Callithrix jacchus: one gene and its partner. The protein of the gene in region 2 interacts with the protein of the main gene of each other region in a pairwise test. Links are inferred from orthologs where the notes say so. Each region holds a gene or a part of one and is shown on either strand. Other genes may lie near its edges. The genes, in order: HINFP and NPAT.

Region 1 (9,252 bases), about 11 Mb from region 2:
CACCACGCCCAGCCTAATTTTTGTATTTTTTGTAGAGACAGGGTTTCCTCATATTGGCCAGGCTAGTCTCGAACTCCTGACCTCAGGTGATTCACCCGCCTCTGCCTCCCAGAGTGCTGGGATTACAGTCATGAGCCACCTCGCCCAGCTGGTAGGTGCTATTTTTAACATCATTTATAGATAAACAACTGAAGTTCCAGAGATCAAGTGACTTGCTCATGGCAACACTAGTGGTAATGGTAGGGCCATATTGGGCTGACTCTAGAGTTTGTACTCTTTCTACTCCATGTAGTCTGCAGATGAACCCAGAAGCTCCTTATTTCTTACTGAATCGTAAGTCCCCTGACAAGACTTTCAAAGTGTCATACAATCACAGCATTCTGGGAGGCCAAGGTGGGTGGATCATCTGAGGTTAGGAGTTCGAGACCAGTCTGGCCAACATGGTGAAACCCTGCCTTATCTCTACTAAAAATACAAAAATTAGCCAGGCATGGTGGCATAAGCCTGTAATCCCAGCTACTTGGGAGGCTGAGGCAGGAGAATCACTTGAACCTGGGAGGCAGAGGCTGCAATGAGTCAAGATCGTGCCACCATACACCAGCCTGGGCAACAGAGTGAGATTTTGTCTCAAAACAAAACAAAACAAAACCTAAAGGTTCTCAATTTTATTTTATTTTTATTTTTTGAGACAGAGTCTCCCTCTGTCACCCAGGCTAGAGTGCAGGGGTGCAATCTTGGCTCACTGCAACCTCCTCCTCGCGGGTTCAACCGACTCTCCTGCCTCAGCCTCCTGAGTAGCTGGGATTACAGGCATGCCACCACATCTAGCGAATTCTTTTATTTTTAGTAGCGATGGGATTTCATCAAGATGACCAGGGTGGTCTCAAACCCCTGACCTCAGGTGATCCACCCGCCTCGGCCTCCCACAGTGCTGGGATTACAGATCTGCAGACAAATGTAGAGTTATCCAGCACCTGCCAGAGAAGTTTGGATTTAGGAGGGCAGCAGTTAACCTAGAAATCTGCCCTTTTTAGTCAGCACCCCGGTTCTGATATAAGCAGTTTCAGAAGCATACTTTGAATAACAATAATAGAATAAACAAAACACAGAACAGAGGGTGACATTGCAAGCAAAACTTCTGGTAGAGAGAGGACACTAAGATGCCTTGGCTCTGTCTCCTGAGTGTCACTTCTCCTCAGAAATTCTCACTGATTCTTGCTGACCCCACCAAGTTGCTCTCTCTAGCCAACCTGAGAGAGGTGGGAACTCTGAAAAAGGCCTTATTGAATACTAAAAGGAAAAAGACAGAAAATATAAAAAAACAGAAGATCTTTCATTTCTCCAGTACAGGCTTTTCTGAACCTACTATACCTATTATGCCTACATAGTCTTTTCTCCTCCTCAGAGAAGTATCCAGTCACCCTTACCACTCTGGGGTGTACACGGGGTTGCTGAGCTGCTCACAGACTAACAGTGAATCCTATTACAAATACTGACTGCTGGGCCAAGCGCAGTGGCTCACAATCCCAGCACTTTGGGAGGCCAAGGCGAGGAGATGACTTGCGTTCAGGAGTTTGTACCAGCCTGGACAACATGGCAAAACTCTGTCTCTACTAAAAATACAAAAATCAGTCAGGTATAGTAGCACGCACCTATAGTCCCAGCTACTCGGGAGACTGAGGCGGGAGGATAGCTAGAGCCCAGGAGGCAAAGGTTGCAGTGAGCCAAGATCGCACCATTGTATTCCATCCTGGATGGCAGAGCCAGACCCTGTCTAAACAAAAACAAAAACAAAACAGACACAGTGGCTCATGCCTGTAATCCCAGCACTTTGGGAGGCCGAGGTGGGCAGAACACCTGAGGTTGGGAGTTCAAGACCAGCCTAACATGGAGAAACCTCATCTCTACTAAAAATACAAAATTAGCCAAGTGTGGTGGCACACACCTGTAATCCCACCTACTCAGGAGGCTGAGGCAGGAGAACTGCTTGAACCCAGGAGGTGGACGTTGCAGTGAGCCAAGATGGTGCCATTGCATTCCAGCCTTAGCAAGGAGAGCAAAACTCCATCTCAAAAAAAAAAAAAAGACATAAAATCCCACACCGCCTCTGACTGTATATCACCTACAGTATGAAAGCCCTTCTCAAAGGGGTCTCAATTCTCCAGGTCTAAGTAGAAAAATGAACATCTATTGAGAGGCTATGGTGTGTCAGCCCTGTGGTGCGTCCTCTCTACACTTCATCTGATGTAAGAGCACCCTCATTCCAATCCAAAGATCAGGCTCTTTCTCCCACACGATGATGCTGTCTGGCTTCCTCACCCATACTTCATTCTCTCTTCCTCTGATTAAGTCATCTTTGTCTCTGAATACTCTACATTCCCCTAAAACTCTCTGCCTACGCAACTTTTTTTTTTTTTTGAGACAGAGTCTTGCTCTGTCCCTCAGGCTAGAGTGTAGTAGTGCGATCTGGGATCAATGCAAACTCCATCTCCCAATGTTCAAGTGATTCTCGTGACTTAGTCTCCAAAGTATTACAGCGGGGACTACAGGCACATGCCACCATGACCAGCTAATTTTTGTAATATTAATAGAGATGGGGGTCTCACCATGTTGGCCGGGCTGGTCTCAAACTCCTGACCTCAAGTGATCCGCCTGCCTCGGCCTCACAAAGTGCTGGGATTACAGGTGTGAGCCACTGCGCCAGGCCTATTCGCCCTTCAAACCCAAAAGTCCTCTCTGATGACCCCTTTCCCGATGCATCCAGGTACAGCTGGCACATCCTATCTCCTGCCCACAGTATCTATACACATCTTCGCTATCAATGAAATGAAATTTGTTTCCCCTAGACTAGGAGTTTCTCAGGACAGTGGCCATCACTCATTCACTTCTCATTCTGATTCAGCACAGAGCTTTGTACACTCCAAGCACTCAGTAAATATCAGGAGATAATCACATTCCAGGAAGCCTTTCTAAACTACCTTATTTCTGAATCTACTCTTGCTCCTTGGTTCTATGGCTGGCACAGGCGACACCATAAAACCTCAACCTTATTTTTTTTTTTTTTTTTTTTTTGAGACGGAGTTTCGCTCTTGTTACCCAGGCTGGAGTGCAATGGCCCGATCTCGGCTCACCGCAACCTCTGCCCCCTGGGTTCAGGCAATTCTCCTGCCTCAGCCTCCTGAGTAGCTGGGATTACAGGCACGTGCCACCGTGCCCAGCTAATTTTTTGTATTTTTAGTACAGACGGGGTTTCACCATGTTTACCGGGATGGTCTCGATCTCTTGACCTCGTGATCCACCCGCCTCAGCTTCCCAAAGTGCTGGGATTACAGGCGTGAGCCACTGCGCCCGGCCCAACCCTATTTTTATATTGCCATGTCGTTTTATATATTGTAGTCTCACTTACCCAATTGGACAACCAGAAGCTTCTCAAAAGAAACCATATCAGAACGGCCTGTGTCCCTACACTGTGCCAAGCACAAATATTCTAAACAAACACCTACTGTTAGACTGGTGGGTAAGACCACGGAGGCCAGCTACCTGGAGATATAGAATGATGTGAAACCTAGGCAAAGCTCCCTATCTCTCTCTCACTGTCCTCTTGCCTTCTTTAATATCTCTTTCTGCGCCGTTAGTTTCTACTCTGAGGAGATAGGGGCATGATCATCACTTTACCCTCTTAAGACTTAAGAGAGCATATACTGCTTTGGGAGGCCGAGGCGGGTGGATCACGAGGTCAAGAGATCGAGACCATCCTGGTCAACATGGTGAAACCCACGTCTCTACTAAAAATACAAAAAATTAGCTGGGCACGGTGGCGCGCGCCTGTAATCCCAGCTACTCGGGAGGCTGAGGCAGGGGAATTGCCTGAACCCAGGAGGCGGAGGTTGCGGTGAGCCGAGATCGGGCCATTGCACTCCAGCCTGGGTAACAAGAGCGAAACTCCGTCTCAAAAAAATAAAAAAGAGAGCATATACTGTAACGCAAGACCATGAATGAACTCTAGTATTCAATAAAAAGAGGGCTCAGGTCCCAAACGCCTAAGAACTCACAATTTGGCCAAAAAGATATGACTGATATGTGAAGACAACGACCAAAGCAAAGTACCCGTTGAGGGAGACCAGGACAGAGAGAAACCTGCCCCCCGACACCCCCCCACCCCCGGTCAGGCGAGAAGGAAGGCTCCCCTAAGCTGTGGGTCCCGCACCACGCCTCGAAGGAAAGGTAGAATTCGGACAGAAGGAAGGAGACCGTCTCGTTGGGCAAAACCTGTCACTCGCAGTCCCGCAAGCTTCCCGGAATCCTTCCTCTAAGGCGTGGCGGCGACCGAGTCTCAGCCGCAGCGAAGCCCCTACACTAGAAAGCAGGGAGGTTGGAGTCGGGGTGAGGGGAAAGACCAGGGCAGACCAGAGTGGCCAAGCGGCAAGAAGACTCGCCGAGGTGGCTCGGGAAGAGCTTGGGCTCCTGCTAGCCCCTGCAGAGCACACGTCCCAGCTTACCGTCCGTCGGCTCCGGGTCTCCTCAGCTCTTCTCCTACTTCAATCTCCGGGAAGGCTCTTGAGGGACGGTCAAGGAAAGCCAATCGTCGCTGTCGGATCCGACTGACAACCAATGGCAGCTGGGTCTGGCGGAACCCGTGTGCACCAAAACACGGAAGGGGCGGGAACGGTGGGTGGGGCTCGGCGTCCCGGGTTGACTGAGGGGCGACCGGATACGTGAAAAAGGTAGCGCTTGACAGCGCCTAGGCGCTCGGGGCGACGCACAGGCGGGGAGCCTACGGGCCAGAGTTCCCCTAACTGCGCAGACTCGGCCTCCGGGACTCAATGGGCATGCGCAGGGCCCGCGATTGGTGCCTAGTGGGGTCTCCTTCACGTGGTTCTTCGCCTTGAGTTCGCTGGTTGCGTGGGCCTCCCGGAGGAAAAGGCGTGGGAGGCTGCCCAGCGCTATCGGCCCCGCTAGGGACAGACTGAAGGTTCTACGGTTCTACCCTTTCCTTAAGCTTCTTAGTCATATGTCTTAAATGTTGGTATTATACGTTTGCTTCTCTTTCCCCCCAAACTCGGCTTCCCTTCATCCATCCATTTGTTCAGGTCAGAAACCTGGCAGTCATCACTGATTCCTCTCTCTCACTGATCACATCCAATCCATTGCCAAGTTCTATGGATTCTACCTTTTTTAAAAACAGGATCTTTCAAATTCATCCCCTTTTCTTTATCTTCACTGCCTCCCCACCTCCCCTGTCCAATGATGAGGTCCAGGGAGGATTTATACATTAACAGGTCCCGCTGCGTGCACACTTGCTTCCTTCCAAAGCATTCTCCACAGAGCACTCAAAGGGATCTTTGCAGGCCAGGCGCGGTGGCTCACGCCCGTAAAGACGGGCGGATCATGAGGTCAAGAGATCCACCCACTTCAGCCTCCCACAGTGCTAGGATTACAGGCGTGAGCCACCGCACCCGGCCCTGAAATAAATTTTAAAATGCCATTAAGATAGTAAGGTCATACTTGTGCATAAAGTTTGGTTTTAACAACAGTGAGCTATAACTTGGTCCCTATTTTAAAATACGGTTTTGCAGGCGTTGTGGCTCATGCCTGTAATCCCAGCACTTTGGGAGACCGAGGCGGGCGGATCATGAGGTCAGGAGTTTGAAACCAGCCTGGCCAACATGGCGAAAACCTGTCTCTACTAAAAATACAAAAATTAGCTGGGCATGGTGGCGGGCACCTATAGTCCCAGCTACTCGGGAGCCTGTGGCAGGAGAATCGCTTGAACCTGGGAGGCAGAGGTTGCAGTGAGCAGAGGTCGCACCACTGCACTCCAGCCTGGGCAACAGAGTGAGACATTGTCTAAAAAAAAAAAAAAATTTTATTCAGGGCCAGGCGCAGGGGCTCACGCCTGTAATCCCAGCACTTTGGGAGGTTGAGGCGGGTGGATCACAAGGTTAGGAGCTTGAGACCAGCCTGGCCAACATGGTGAAAACCCATCTCTACTAAAAATACAAATATTAGCTGGGCATGGTGGTGGGCGACTGTCATCACAGTTTCGAGGGAAGCTGAGGCAGTAGAATCATTTGAACCATGGAGGCAGAGGTTGCAGTGAGCCAAGATTGCACCATTGCATTCCACCCTGGGCGACAGGGTGAGACTCTGTCTCAACACACATATATATATGTAATTCGAAAGTAATAAAATATATCTTACCAACTTTATTCATTCAAAAATACAGTTATAGTAGTATGTCATGAAGTGCCAACCTCATTTTAATTCAGATTTACACCACTGAAAATGAAAATAGCTTTTAGCTTTATTTAGCAATTTCATGAAGAAAAAGTTCATTCACAGAGCTGTGTAAACTCAAACATAGGTTACAGAGCAAAAATTCCAGGATTGCTCTGGGATCCATATATATGTTTCCAAATTTTAAAGCAGTGTCATGCTGTCTAGCATAGTTTACTTCTATCTCAATCTGCTTCTCTTGAAAACAAGCCACAGTTTTGGCTGGGTAATTCAGACATTTCCTGAGATTTGTTCTTTAAAAGCTGCCATAAAAACTGAGAGCGTAAGTCATACTCATTAAAAGCTGTGGATCTCTTCTGAAAGTGTGAAATGGATTAAGCTGATGAAAGTATGTTTCATTCATCTAAATTTCCCTATTTTTGAAATGTGATCAGGCTCTTCTTCACTAAATTATGTGATTCCATGGAACTCTGGGCAGCTCAGCACTGGAAGCTCAATACAGAATCCAGTTACCATCTACTCAATTCCCAGGTCCAGTAGAAATCTGAATACCTGTTCTTCCATCAACAAGTTTCTTGTGCAATCACAAGTTCACTGTGTTTGGTTGTTGTGTCATACTGGTAAACAAACTGTTCCTCTATGAACCACTAAGAGTTACATTTCTTAGATTAGGGGAAACAGCTTGAAAATCTCTTTGAATTTTCATGACCTAGAGATAAGCATTTCATTATGAAAAATCAGCCAAATCAATGTGTCCATCAATGGAGGATTGGATAAAGAAAATGTTGTAAGGCTGGGCGCGGTGACTCACGCCTATAATCCCAGCACTTTGGGAGGCTGAGGCAGGTGGATCATGAGGTCAAGAGATAGAGACCAGCCTGGTCAACAAGGTGAAACCCTGTCTCTACTAAAAATACAAAAATTAGCTGAGTACTCAGGAGGGGGGCTGAGGCAGAAGAATTGCTTGAACCCAGGAGGTGGAGGTTGTGGTGAGCCGAGATCGTGCCATTGCAGTCCAGTGTGGGTAACGAGCGAAACTCCGTCTCAAAAAAAAGAAAATGTTGTGTGTGTATGCACACACACACAGTGGAATACTACTCGCCATAAAAAAATGAAAGTATGTGTTTTCCAGCAACATGGTTGGAACTGGAGGCCATTATCCTTGGTGATATAACTCAGAAACAATAAGTCAAATATGGTATATTCTCACTTATAAGTGGGAGCTAAATAATGGGTACATATGAACATACAGAGTGGCATAATAGACATTGGAGACTATAAAATGTGAGAAGGTAGGAGGAAGGTGAGGGTTGAAAAACTATCTATTGGGTACTATGTTCACTATTTGGGCGATGCATACACTAAAAAAAGCCGAGTTCATCCCTATGCATGCAATATATGCATGTAAGAAACCTGCACTTCCTGCAAGATCTGCACATGTACCCCAGAACTTAAACTATAAAAAAAAAAAAGAATTGTTTTTACCGTGAGTGGCACAGAAACGTCCACCATGTTTTCAGTAGCCTGGAAGAAATAGCCTGCATGTAAGTCTCCAGAGTGAATGGAAAAATTATAAACTGATTACCTTTTGCAAAATTATTATTCAAATGACTTTTCATTGTTATTTAATAAATGAAGTAGCCTCCTAGGTGATGGGAGTGACCTGTCTCAATAAAAAATTATAAAAAAATAGAAAAAAAAGAGACACCTGCATTTGTCCCCCCATATATACAAAATTAAATTCTTTTTTTTTTTTTTTTTGAAGTGGAGTCTTGCACTGTCACCCAGGCTGTAGTGTGCAGTAGCACAATCTCGGGTCACTGCAATCTCCACCTCCTGGGTTCAAGCAATTCTCCTGCCTCAGCCTCCCAAGTAGCTGGGACTACAAGCGTGCACCATCACACCTAGCTAATTTTTTTGTTTTTAGTAGAGACAGCGTTTCACATGTTGGCCAGGATGGTCTTGATCTCCTGACCTCATGATCCACCCACCTCAGCCTCCCAAAGTGCTGGGATTACAGGCATAAGCCACTGCACCTGGCCCCAACCAAATTATTTAATTGAAAAAAAAAAATAACCAAATATCTATACCCTCCGTTCTTCCCAGATATCTCATATTTGGTGAGTAGTGTGGACAGGAGCCTGAGGAATACTAACAATTTCCACGTGCTATCTACCCAAAGGTATGTGCCCTAAACACCTTGAGATGCAGTTAGTCATAGAACATCAAGGCGGGATATCACCTGAATGATTATCCAGGTCACCCTTATTTTAGACATGAGGAAATTCAGGTCCACAAAGGAGAAGTTGCCTGCTCAAGATCACGTGGTTTGTTTGTGGCAGACTCAGTTTTCTTGCTTCCTGGTCTTGCATTCTGTCCAATATCCTGTAGCAGCTTACCTGGTTCAAGTTCTGTATAAGATCCCAGAGCACAGGAACCAGCGACATAGAGTTTGCTAGGATCTGCAAATCCCTGAAATGTGCCCACATTTCAGAACAAGAGAATTTTTTTTATGTCGAAACACTTCTAAGACTTCCCCCTCCCACTATTTCTTCTGAGGCAACAGTAAACACTTACTCAGCACTTCATTTACTTCTCACCCACAACCAAATGATAGCTATGATGACTGAAGTTCCCATTTTACAGACGAGAAAACTGAGGCACTCAGAGGTTACCTCACTTGCCCAAGATCACACAGGTAATTAGAGGAGCTGGGACTCAAACCAAGGCAGGCAGTCTAGTTAGAGTCCAAGCTCTGAACTCCGTTATATCCTAGGAGAAGCCTGTTCCAGAAGGGGGAATGAAGACTTACCTGTACTAGTCTATTGACTTTTTTGCTACAACGTCACACTCCAGAGCTTCCGGTCTCTTCCATCCCTTCTTCCCTGCAGGAACTTCTCAGCAGATCCACAATGTATGTCATCTATCCAACCTCATTATCTGGGCCCCTGTCTCTCATCCTCCCACTCCATCTGTGTCACAGCCTGGCTGCCTACTGCTTTTCAAAGGATAACC
Region 2 (9,170 bases):
TACAGTGGAAGAATCTTAGGTTTATAGCTTAACATATGAAAAGGGTCTCAGTTTACAGTCTTAGGAATTACCTATGAAAAGGGTCCCAGTTTACAGTCTCAGAAATTACATATGAAAAGGGTTTCAGTTTACAGTCTTAAGAATGAAAAGGGGAAGTTTACAGTCTTAGGAATGAAAAGGGGAAGTTGATCTGAGATGCCTGGGTCTCCCTCTTCACTACGAAATAAATGCCCTGTCTTTGAACATTCTAGAGCTGTCTATCAGGGCTGGGTGCAGTGGCTCAGGGCTGTAATCTCAGCAATTTGGGAGGCTGAAGTGGGCAGATCATGAGGTCAGAAGTTTGAGACCAACCAGCCTGGCAAACATGATGAAACCCCATCTCTACTAAAAACACAAAAATTAGCCAGGTGTGGTGGCACATGCCTGTAATCCTAGCTACTGGGGAGGCTTCATTCAATCCCAGGAGGCAGAAGTTGCAGTAAGTCGATATAGCACAACTGCACTCCAGCCTGGGTGACAGAGTGAGACTGTCTCAAAAAAAAAAACCAGCATAATTCTCTTCTCCATTTGTATTCACTGGTCATTCTTCTGACCTCCCCCAACCCCCGCAACACTATTACAACCTTCCGTTTACTCTGCTGTAGATTACAGGTTGTTATTTGAGTACTTTTCATTTGATGATATACTTCCTGTGGACAAGTATTGTCACTTTTGCTTTCACATTCCTTATGGTTTTATCTAGAGATCTTCCTACTTCTTCAGTTTCAGTTTAAAGCCCTCTTGAGTCAACAAGGAAAATGAAACTGTTAATCTAACCAATGAAAACACCTTAGCAATATCCAAAGAACCATAAGAGATGACACCTTTATTCTTAAATATACTAAAGATTTGACACTTCCCAGAAGAGGCAGCCCTAAACTTGACTTTTTTTCCCCATGCTATGACTTCTTTGAACTTGTTTTTCTTCTCTTCAGTTTCTTAATGATTACTTTGAAGAAAACAAAATAGTTTAGCATTATCTACATAAACAGAAGATGTTCATTCACTGACACATGCAAACAATATTTACTACGTATAGCTAGACAAATAATGAACTAAACAGATACAAATCCTACCCTCATCGAGGTATATCTGGGCAGCAGAGTGACAATAAACAACTGATAAATCAATGCAGAATTCCAAATTGTGATGTATGCCTCTGAGGAAACAAAAATACAGTAATAAAAAATAACAGTAGAGAGGATCATTTTAGATGAGTTGTCAGGGAACATCTTGCACAGGAGGTTATAATAAAGCCAAGATGTGAACTAACTGGTGCCAATCAAAAAAAGGGGGATCAACACTTCAGGGAAGGAGACTAGCATTGCCAAAGGGTCCTATGATGTAAAAGTACACAGTATGTTGGAAGAACTGAAAGGTAGAGGAACTATTAAGTAGTCAACTAGAGTATGCGTGTCACCATATAAAGATGAAGTTCATTTATACATTAATTCAGAATATCTAGGTTCCACTCAAGGTTCAAATGAGAAGATACAGATTTCCTACTTCCTTAGGGCTCTGAATTGATAAATTCAATGTTTCTTTTTAGATCTCAACCAATTTGATCCCTTTGCAGAACCTGACAATGATGCTTATATCCCATCTTCCTAGAAATAACTCTGCCCTTAGCATGCCATTCTTTTCTAGTGCCAAAGAGTGTGGCATCTGCAATCAGACTATATTAGTTCAAATCCTGGTTCAGCCACTTACAAACTGTATCATCTAAAACAAGTTCACTCATCTCTTCAAACCTCAGTTTCTCAATGATAAAATGAAAAACGATACTAGTACCCACCTCGAAGAGCTCTTATAAGGACCCATATACATGCTTACAGTGCCTGAAACACAGCAAGTGTTCAATAAAGGTTAGCAATGATCATACTCCCTTCCTTTATCACTGTTTCGAAAGTCTCCTTCGATTGTTCTTCCACTCACACCTCAAAGAACAGCTTTGTCTTCTTGATCTCATCCATTCCTATAACCACAACTGTTGAAAACCCGCAAAATATATTTCATTCATGCCGGGTGCGGTGGCTCACGTCTATAATCACAGCACTTTGGGAGGCCGAGGCGGGTGGATCACAAGGTCAAGAGATCAAGACCATCCTGGTCAACAAGGGGAACCCCCTCTCTACTAAAAATACAAAAATTAGCTGGGCATGGTGGTGCGCGTCTGTAGTCCCAGCTACGCAGGAGGCTGAGGCAGGAGAATTGCCTGAACCCAGGAGGCGGAGGTTGCGGTGAGCCGAGATCCTGCCATTGCACTCCAGTCTGGGTAACAAGAGCGAAACTCCATCTCAAAAAAAAAAAAAAAAAAAAAAAAAAATATATATATATATATATATATATTTCATTCAATGCCAGAACTCACTCTGGAGCTTCAGGGTCCTACACTTTGTGCCTTTACACGCATTTTTTTCCTTCCATCTGGAAGGCTTCTATCATCTGCCAAGGTAACACTGCGAAGTCTCACCACAAACTGAATTGATGGTGAGTTTGTAAAGAGCCAGTCACTCCTCTACCATCACAGTACTCCTCTATCACACACATTAAAATCCATTGTAGTTGTACCTGGCAAAAATAGCAAGTAACGCTCACGAGTGCTCACCTCGGGTCAAGATTATCTCACTTATCTTCACAAGTTAGTTAGACAGTAGAGCGAGGCCACACGGAGGACAGTCAGACTAACTCCAGCCCTACGATTCCACAGCCCAAGCGTAACCTCGAAGCTAAAGTTGAAACATCAATAAATGCTCGCTGACTAAAAGTACTAATTATGAGAGAGAGAGATCAAAAGATGACTAGTCACGTCTCGTAGTTAAATCTGAACCCTAACGTGACACGAAGAAAGGATGCGCAGAAGGGAGGGTGCAATTCAGGGCACTTAAAAGGAGGTTATTGGCAAATCCGCTAGGAACTCAGAGAAAGGCCGAGAAAGATGGAGTGAGGACGAGCCAAGGGCCACTCCGGAGGGGTGCATGGGATTGGGTGTCTGGGGTGAAGACAGACTGGTTGGCACGCGGCTGAATTTTCCAACGCAGAAGCCGTTGCGTTGCTTCCCAGTCCCTAGTCCCTAGTCCCTACCGCTGCACTCGGAAGGTCAAAGTGGCATCAAAGGCGGCGGCGGCGGCGGCTGCAGCCCAGATCCCGGCTCCTCTGGCCTCCTCCCGCTGCCACAGCTTCTTTTCTCCGTTAGCCACGCAGGTACCTACTCCTGCTTCCGGTTCAAACCTGGCATGACCGCGCAGCGCCCACTTCTGGAGGAAGAAGCAAGGCCGAGCGGCGGCGGAGCAAGTTGTGCCCATGCGCGCCAAATATCACGCGGTCTCCCCGCTCAAAACACGCCCCCAAAACATTCGGCCCGTCGGAGCAAACGCGCCTGCGCCCTATCCACCAATGACCCACGACCTAGCGTTTGCGGCTCGCTCTCCGGCTCGGGCTCGCGGGCGAGGACCCACCCTCCTCGCCGTCCTCATCCCCGCCCCTCCTCGCCGTCCTCATCCCCGCCCCTCCTCGCCGTCCTCATCCCCGCCCCTCCTCGCCGTCCTCATCCCCGCCCCTCCTCGCCGTCCTCATCCCCGCCCCTCCTCGCCGTCCTCATCCCCGCCCCTCCTCGTCGTCCTCAGCCCCGCCCCTCCTCGTCGTCCTCAGCCCCGCCCCTCCTCGTCGTCCTCAGCCCCGCCCCTCCTCGTCGTCCTCAGCCCCGCCCCTCCTCGCCGTCCTCAGCCCCGCCCCTCCTAGTGTGAGGACGGAAATGACGACAGTTCTAAAGGCGAACGGAGGTGGGTTTCATTTCGGCGCCTTTCTTTCTCTGGCGGAAGCAATTGGCTGGCATGCAGCGAAAGAGGCGGGACAAATTGCCGCGGGTTCAGTGCCGCCACTGGAACCGGGAGATGCGGCGCCGGAGCTGTCGCTGCGTTTGCTCTAACCTGACTCTCGTTCTTTATTGTGGTTCCCGCTGCGGTTTTGATCATGTTGTTACCCTCGGATGTAGCCCGGCTGGTATTGGGTAAGCGCGGACGCGGGAAGGAGGGTATTGGACCTGGCTATGCCGGACGGAAGGACCTTTAAGGCCAGAGGTCTTCCCTGGGTGGGGAAGCTTCGGGGGGTTTGCCTCCTGGCTTACGAGTTGAGACTGGCGGTGGTTCTGGGCAGTTTAAGGCTCTTTGTATGTCGATGCTCCTGTCTTCGGAGGCTGCGTGGCAAGGGGAGGGACGAGGGGAAGCTCGGGCTGGAAACACCTGGGGCCGGATTCGGAGGGAAAGTCAGGCCTCCGCGCTTAATTAGGATCCCTGAAAGAGTTGTCTGCTTGACGGACGGCCTGCGTGTGCTTCAACCTTCTGAGCACTTTCGCTGGTCAGTGCTGGGACCAAAATAGGGACTTCCCCGGGCCCCCCGCCCCCATCTTTTAGGGAGACCTTCCTGGCGCCCTTCTAATAACCCGCCCTTATAACTACGGGTTTGGGAGTAGGGGTGATCTTCCTTCTCTGCCCTCCTCGCAGTACGTCGTCCAGTGTAGAGGTGTGAAATGCCAGTGGCATATTTTAAAACAGCAATTCTTATTTCTTTGATCAGCAAAAAATTTCGGAGGATTGCCTTTTAGTTGAGCGTTTTCTAGCCTTAGTTTTACCTTCATTTGAGGAGGGTGGTTTGTGGGTCACTTGTTTGTCAGGGTGTATTGTCTGTGTGAGAGAAGGGTTGTGTTGTTGTTTGTCCCCTGATAGAATAAAGGGGATTGTACCACAGGGGACGAGAGGTAAAGCTCAAAACCCGAGCCAGTGATTTACAGACATCGTATGCGACGTCTTAAAAGGCAGACATCTGTGATGAAGCCTCCCATAGTATTCACAGCCATTTGCTTCCGTTATTTTATTGTTCGGAAAATCCATTTGTCTTGTGCCTCTTTTAAATGCCCAGCGCTGTCCACAAAAATGCTATTTGGGCAGGGCTCTTGATAAACACATTTTGCAGGAAACGTTAAACGGAAATGGTTCCACCATCCATTTTTGAAGAAACTAATGACAAGTTTAAACTAATGTTTTGTTAATGTCTGATTAATCTTTTGCTTAGGAATTCTGAGTTTTGGCAGTTTGGTAATCTAGTTGAGTTTCGGTAACTAGTCTTAAACATGGTTTCTCAGCCTCAGTACTGTTAACATTTTGGGCCTCAAAATTCTTTATTATGGGGATCTATCTTCAAAATTCTTTATTATGGGAATCTATCCTGTACTTAAACATTGTAGGATGTTTAGTAGCATTCCTGGCTTCTATTTACTAGATTACAGTAGGACACTCATTCCCTACCCTTACCCAGTTGTGATGAGGAAAAATGTCTCTAGATACTGCTTGTAAGTCCCCTGGAGGGCAGAATCACTCCTAATTACAAAATCTTAAGAAAGCAGAATCATTTTCTAATCGGAATAATTCACATCAATTTGTGAGTATTCCTTTTCCATAACCCAGCCACTCTGCTGACTTCCTACTTTTAATCAGCCATGGTTTTGTCTTAAAAATCTTGGTCATTCACATTCCATTTCACTGCCACCAGTCCCGTAGTGTGCCCGCCGTTACTTCTCACTCGGACTTCTGTCATGGCTTCCCGGATACTTGTCCTTGCAATTCATTTTGTTTGCTGTGGTTACACATCTCCCTGAAGCATTCACACTGTACCTTCTATTCTGAAAGTTGAAATGATTTTGTTCTTACTAAAACTTTAAAGAGAGCAGGAGTAAACAGTACCAAAAAAAGCCTCCTTATGCCTAATGCTGTTACTTGGTCATTTGTCATTGCACAATTTTAAAAATATATATCGTGTATGTCTTTCTCATATCAGTTTTATTATTTACTCATGATTCTTCTATCTGCCCCCTCCCCATCTTCAGCTCCCCTTGTTATTGACCCCTTCATAATGGGTTTTTTTTCCAGCAAATCTTTGGGTGCCTGATAGTTCCAAACACTATGCCAATTGCTGAACATAGAGAAGTAAGTTTTCTGCCCTTAGTGTTCAGATAATTAGGTTTTTCTACTTTCAGACACACACACCCAAAACACTCTTCTGGACCTCTCGAAACATTAGACACCCATTAGACAGAACATTTTGTCTTATGTTGTGTGTCACCCTTTCACAAGTCCAGTTTATTCAGAGAACACAGTGAGTTCCACTTAGTTGCTGTTCTGTAAGTACCCTGTATCCTTCAGGATACTGCGCTCTGACTTTGCATCTCACTACTCCGCTTAAGTAGCCCTTGTTGCCCTGTTGGGATTTCACAAGATACCGTACAGGCCAGAATACATCAAAGTGTTTTTTATTGCCTCTGGGCAGTCAGTTGCGTTTTTATCCATTTATCCTTCAAGGTGCTCTGTAGAACTGATCCTCCCTACCTCTCCTGCTTGATCTCAACTTCTTAACATCTGCCATATGCTGCAGACATCCCAAACGAATTGAAGTTTCTCTGAATATTCTTAAATGAATTCTGCTCCTCTTTGCTACTACGCTTGCATTCAAGGTTCAAGTCACACCTGATCTCTGAAACCTCATTCACAGTTAGTACTTCTTAAATGTTGCCAGGGCATTGTCTTATCATGTCTTATTGTAGCTGTTTATTTACTTTTTTTGATAAAATATACATAACAAAATTCACCATTTTGGCCATTTTAAAATATGTAGTTCTTACAGCCCAAAACAAGGAGTTGTTGGTTGTTTGTTTTCAGCGTACAGTTCAGCAGCATTAAGTACATTGACAGTGTTCTTCGACCATCACCGCTGTTGGTTTCTGGAACTTTTTCATTTTCCCAATTTGAAACTTACTTTTTTTCTGGAGCCGCAGTGGCTCCGGCCAGTTGTCCTGGTGCTTGAGGAGGCGAGGCTATGAGTTCAAGGCCAACCTGAGCAACATAACAAGCTCTCATTGATTAGCAAAAAAAAAAAAGAAGAAACTTACTTTTTTTTTTTTAGTTTTATTCTGTAGTCTTATCCTTGGATTAATGGACAAGCTTCAAGAATTCTGGGAGCCTCCAAAACTATCATCTGTAAATGTTTTCTTTAATAGGTTTGTTACCTTCTGTATGATATAGCATGCATTCAAAAAATAGAAAACATTCTGAGTATTTAACATGGAAGGATTTAATGAGATAATTGGTTACACTGGTGAGAGAAAGGCTAAGATGCCCAGCAGCTTTCAACTAAGACATCTCAGTGGTTAGCAGCAATAGGAAGCCACTATACTAATCAGAAGGATAAGGAGAGAGGAAGCGACCAAGAGGCTGGGTTGACTGTATGGAACATGCAAGACTTGTCTGATGAGGGAATGGTAGTCATAGAGGAGACTCTACTGAGGCAGAATGGGAATGGGGGAAAAATGTGGCTACTTCCTTCTGCCCTCCAACTTCCCACCTGTGCTTTCTATTTACTGAGCCCAGCCAGAAGCAGGCTGACAGAAGAGCCCGAGAAACATTGTCTGTATAGAGTCAGGCTTTATGTCATACAGTAGAGAGCAACAGAAGGACAAGAACGAATTTGAGGTCAGACAGGACCAGAACTGACACACCGATGAGAGGTCAAGAGCTGCTGGTTCTGTTCACCTTTATATCACCAAAACATAGATATTTAATAAACACTTGCCAAGTATGGCTGTGATTATGACGTTCCTCTTAGTTTATGGAATAACATGTACTCATTGCTGTCTGAAGCTTTTCGCGAACCTTACCCATTTTGTGTTTTCTGTTGTATCTCCAACTGTTCCGCTTCATAAACTTCGTGCTTCATCCAAACTGGACATGTTCCCCAAATATGCTTGCACATATGCTTTCTGTCAACCTCTTTGGGATTCCCAGCCATCCTTCAGAACTCATCTGCGCCTTCAGACCTCATTTCCTCAAGCTTAGTAATGGTTTCTCCAGCCCCTCCCTTCCCATGAAGTAAGTCCGCTCTATTTTCTTACCACTTTCGTTTTGCGTTACAGTTATTTATATATATATATATATATATATATCTTCTATCTCCAAGTAAGTCATAACTTCATAGAGAGAAACCTTTTCTCTGTTATTTGTGGATCTAGTAATATAAGGCACCATAAGGTAAGGCTTCCTAAGAATTATTTGCATGCTTAAAGGACATTAAATGATTATTGTTTCTAGGGAAATAGTGGAATGTGTGAAGGAGGTGTTTTCCTATAGGGTGCTTTACTATCTCTTGCTTGCTTTAGACTGCTTTCTTTTTATCTTTTCCTCTCTGCAAGTAAGAAGAAAGAATACCCTTCAAATAGTTAGGATCTTATCTTTCCTTCTCTTTTTCAGTGGTGTTTCCCCTTCAGTTGAGTTACCCATTACTACCTCCACTTATAATAAAAGTAAGCTGAAAATAATATGTTAAGAAGAAGGAAACTCAGGCACACTTTCTTACCTATTCAGACCCCTTCGTCAGTAAGTTTACACAAAAAATACACTTCTTTTATCTAAACAGTAATAACTAATACTAGTTGAAGAGTAACTATTTGTATCATACTGATAAGAGATGATTAGTCCCTCATTTGTATTTTCTTTTTTATTTTATTTATTAATTTATTTTGAGATGGAGTTTCATTCTTGTTGCCCAGGCTGGAGTGTGACGGTACAATCTTGGCTCACTGCAACCTCTGCCTCCCAAGTTCAAATGATCCTCCTGCCTCAGCCTCCCAAGCAGCTGGTATTACAGGCACTCGCCACCACACGCCCTGCCCCCGCTGACTAATTTTTGTATTTTGAGTAGAGACAGGGTTTCACCGTGTTGGCCAGGCTGGTCTCGAACTCCTGGCCTGAGGTGATCCACCTGCCTCAGCTTCCCAAAATGCGGGGATTACAGGCATGAGTCACCGCACCTGGCCTGTATTTTCAGTGTATTTGGATTTTCAATCATCTAACATCTGAGATTTAGAATTAATTTGTACCGAAAATTTCCCATTACGTGATGGAGAGTTGGTTATAGTCAGATTCTTCATGATGATAATGAAACATTTTGTAGGCAGATAACTGGTTAATCATATATGTAGTAAGTCCTCATTTAATAGGTTCAATAGGTTCTTGAAAACGGCAACTTTAAGTAAAATGATGTGTAACTAATTCTACCATAGGCTAACTCATATACTAGAATTTCTT

Evidence for each region.
Region 1: the proteins of NPAT (region 2) and HINFP interact in a two-hybrid assay, tested with the Homo sapiens proteins (2 studies listed by BioGRID). The link is inferred for Callithrix jacchus from reciprocal best matches to the Homo sapiens genes NPAT and HINFP.

Annotation. Positions count from the first base shown.
Region 1 is NC_133511.1:18,777,614-18,786,865, reverse strand, and holds the start of HINFP (histone H4 transcription factor), read right to left. Parts: upstream 4,548-9,252; 5' UTR 4,270-4,547; intron 1-4,269. UniProt on the Homo sapiens protein: Transcriptional repressor that binds to the consensus sequence 5'-CGGACGTT-3' and to the RB1 promoter. Transcriptional activator that promotes histone H4 gene transcription at the G1/S phase transition in conjunction with NPAT.
Region 2 is NC_133511.1:8,023,814-8,032,983, reverse strand, and holds the start of NPAT (protein NPAT), read left to right. Parts: upstream 1-3,888; 5' UTR 3,889-4,011; coding exon 4,012-4,048; intron 4,049-9,170. UniProt on the Homo sapiens protein: Required for progression through the G1 and S phases of the cell cycle and for S phase entry. Activates transcription of the histone H2A, histone H2B, histone H3 and histone H4 genes in conjunction with MIZF.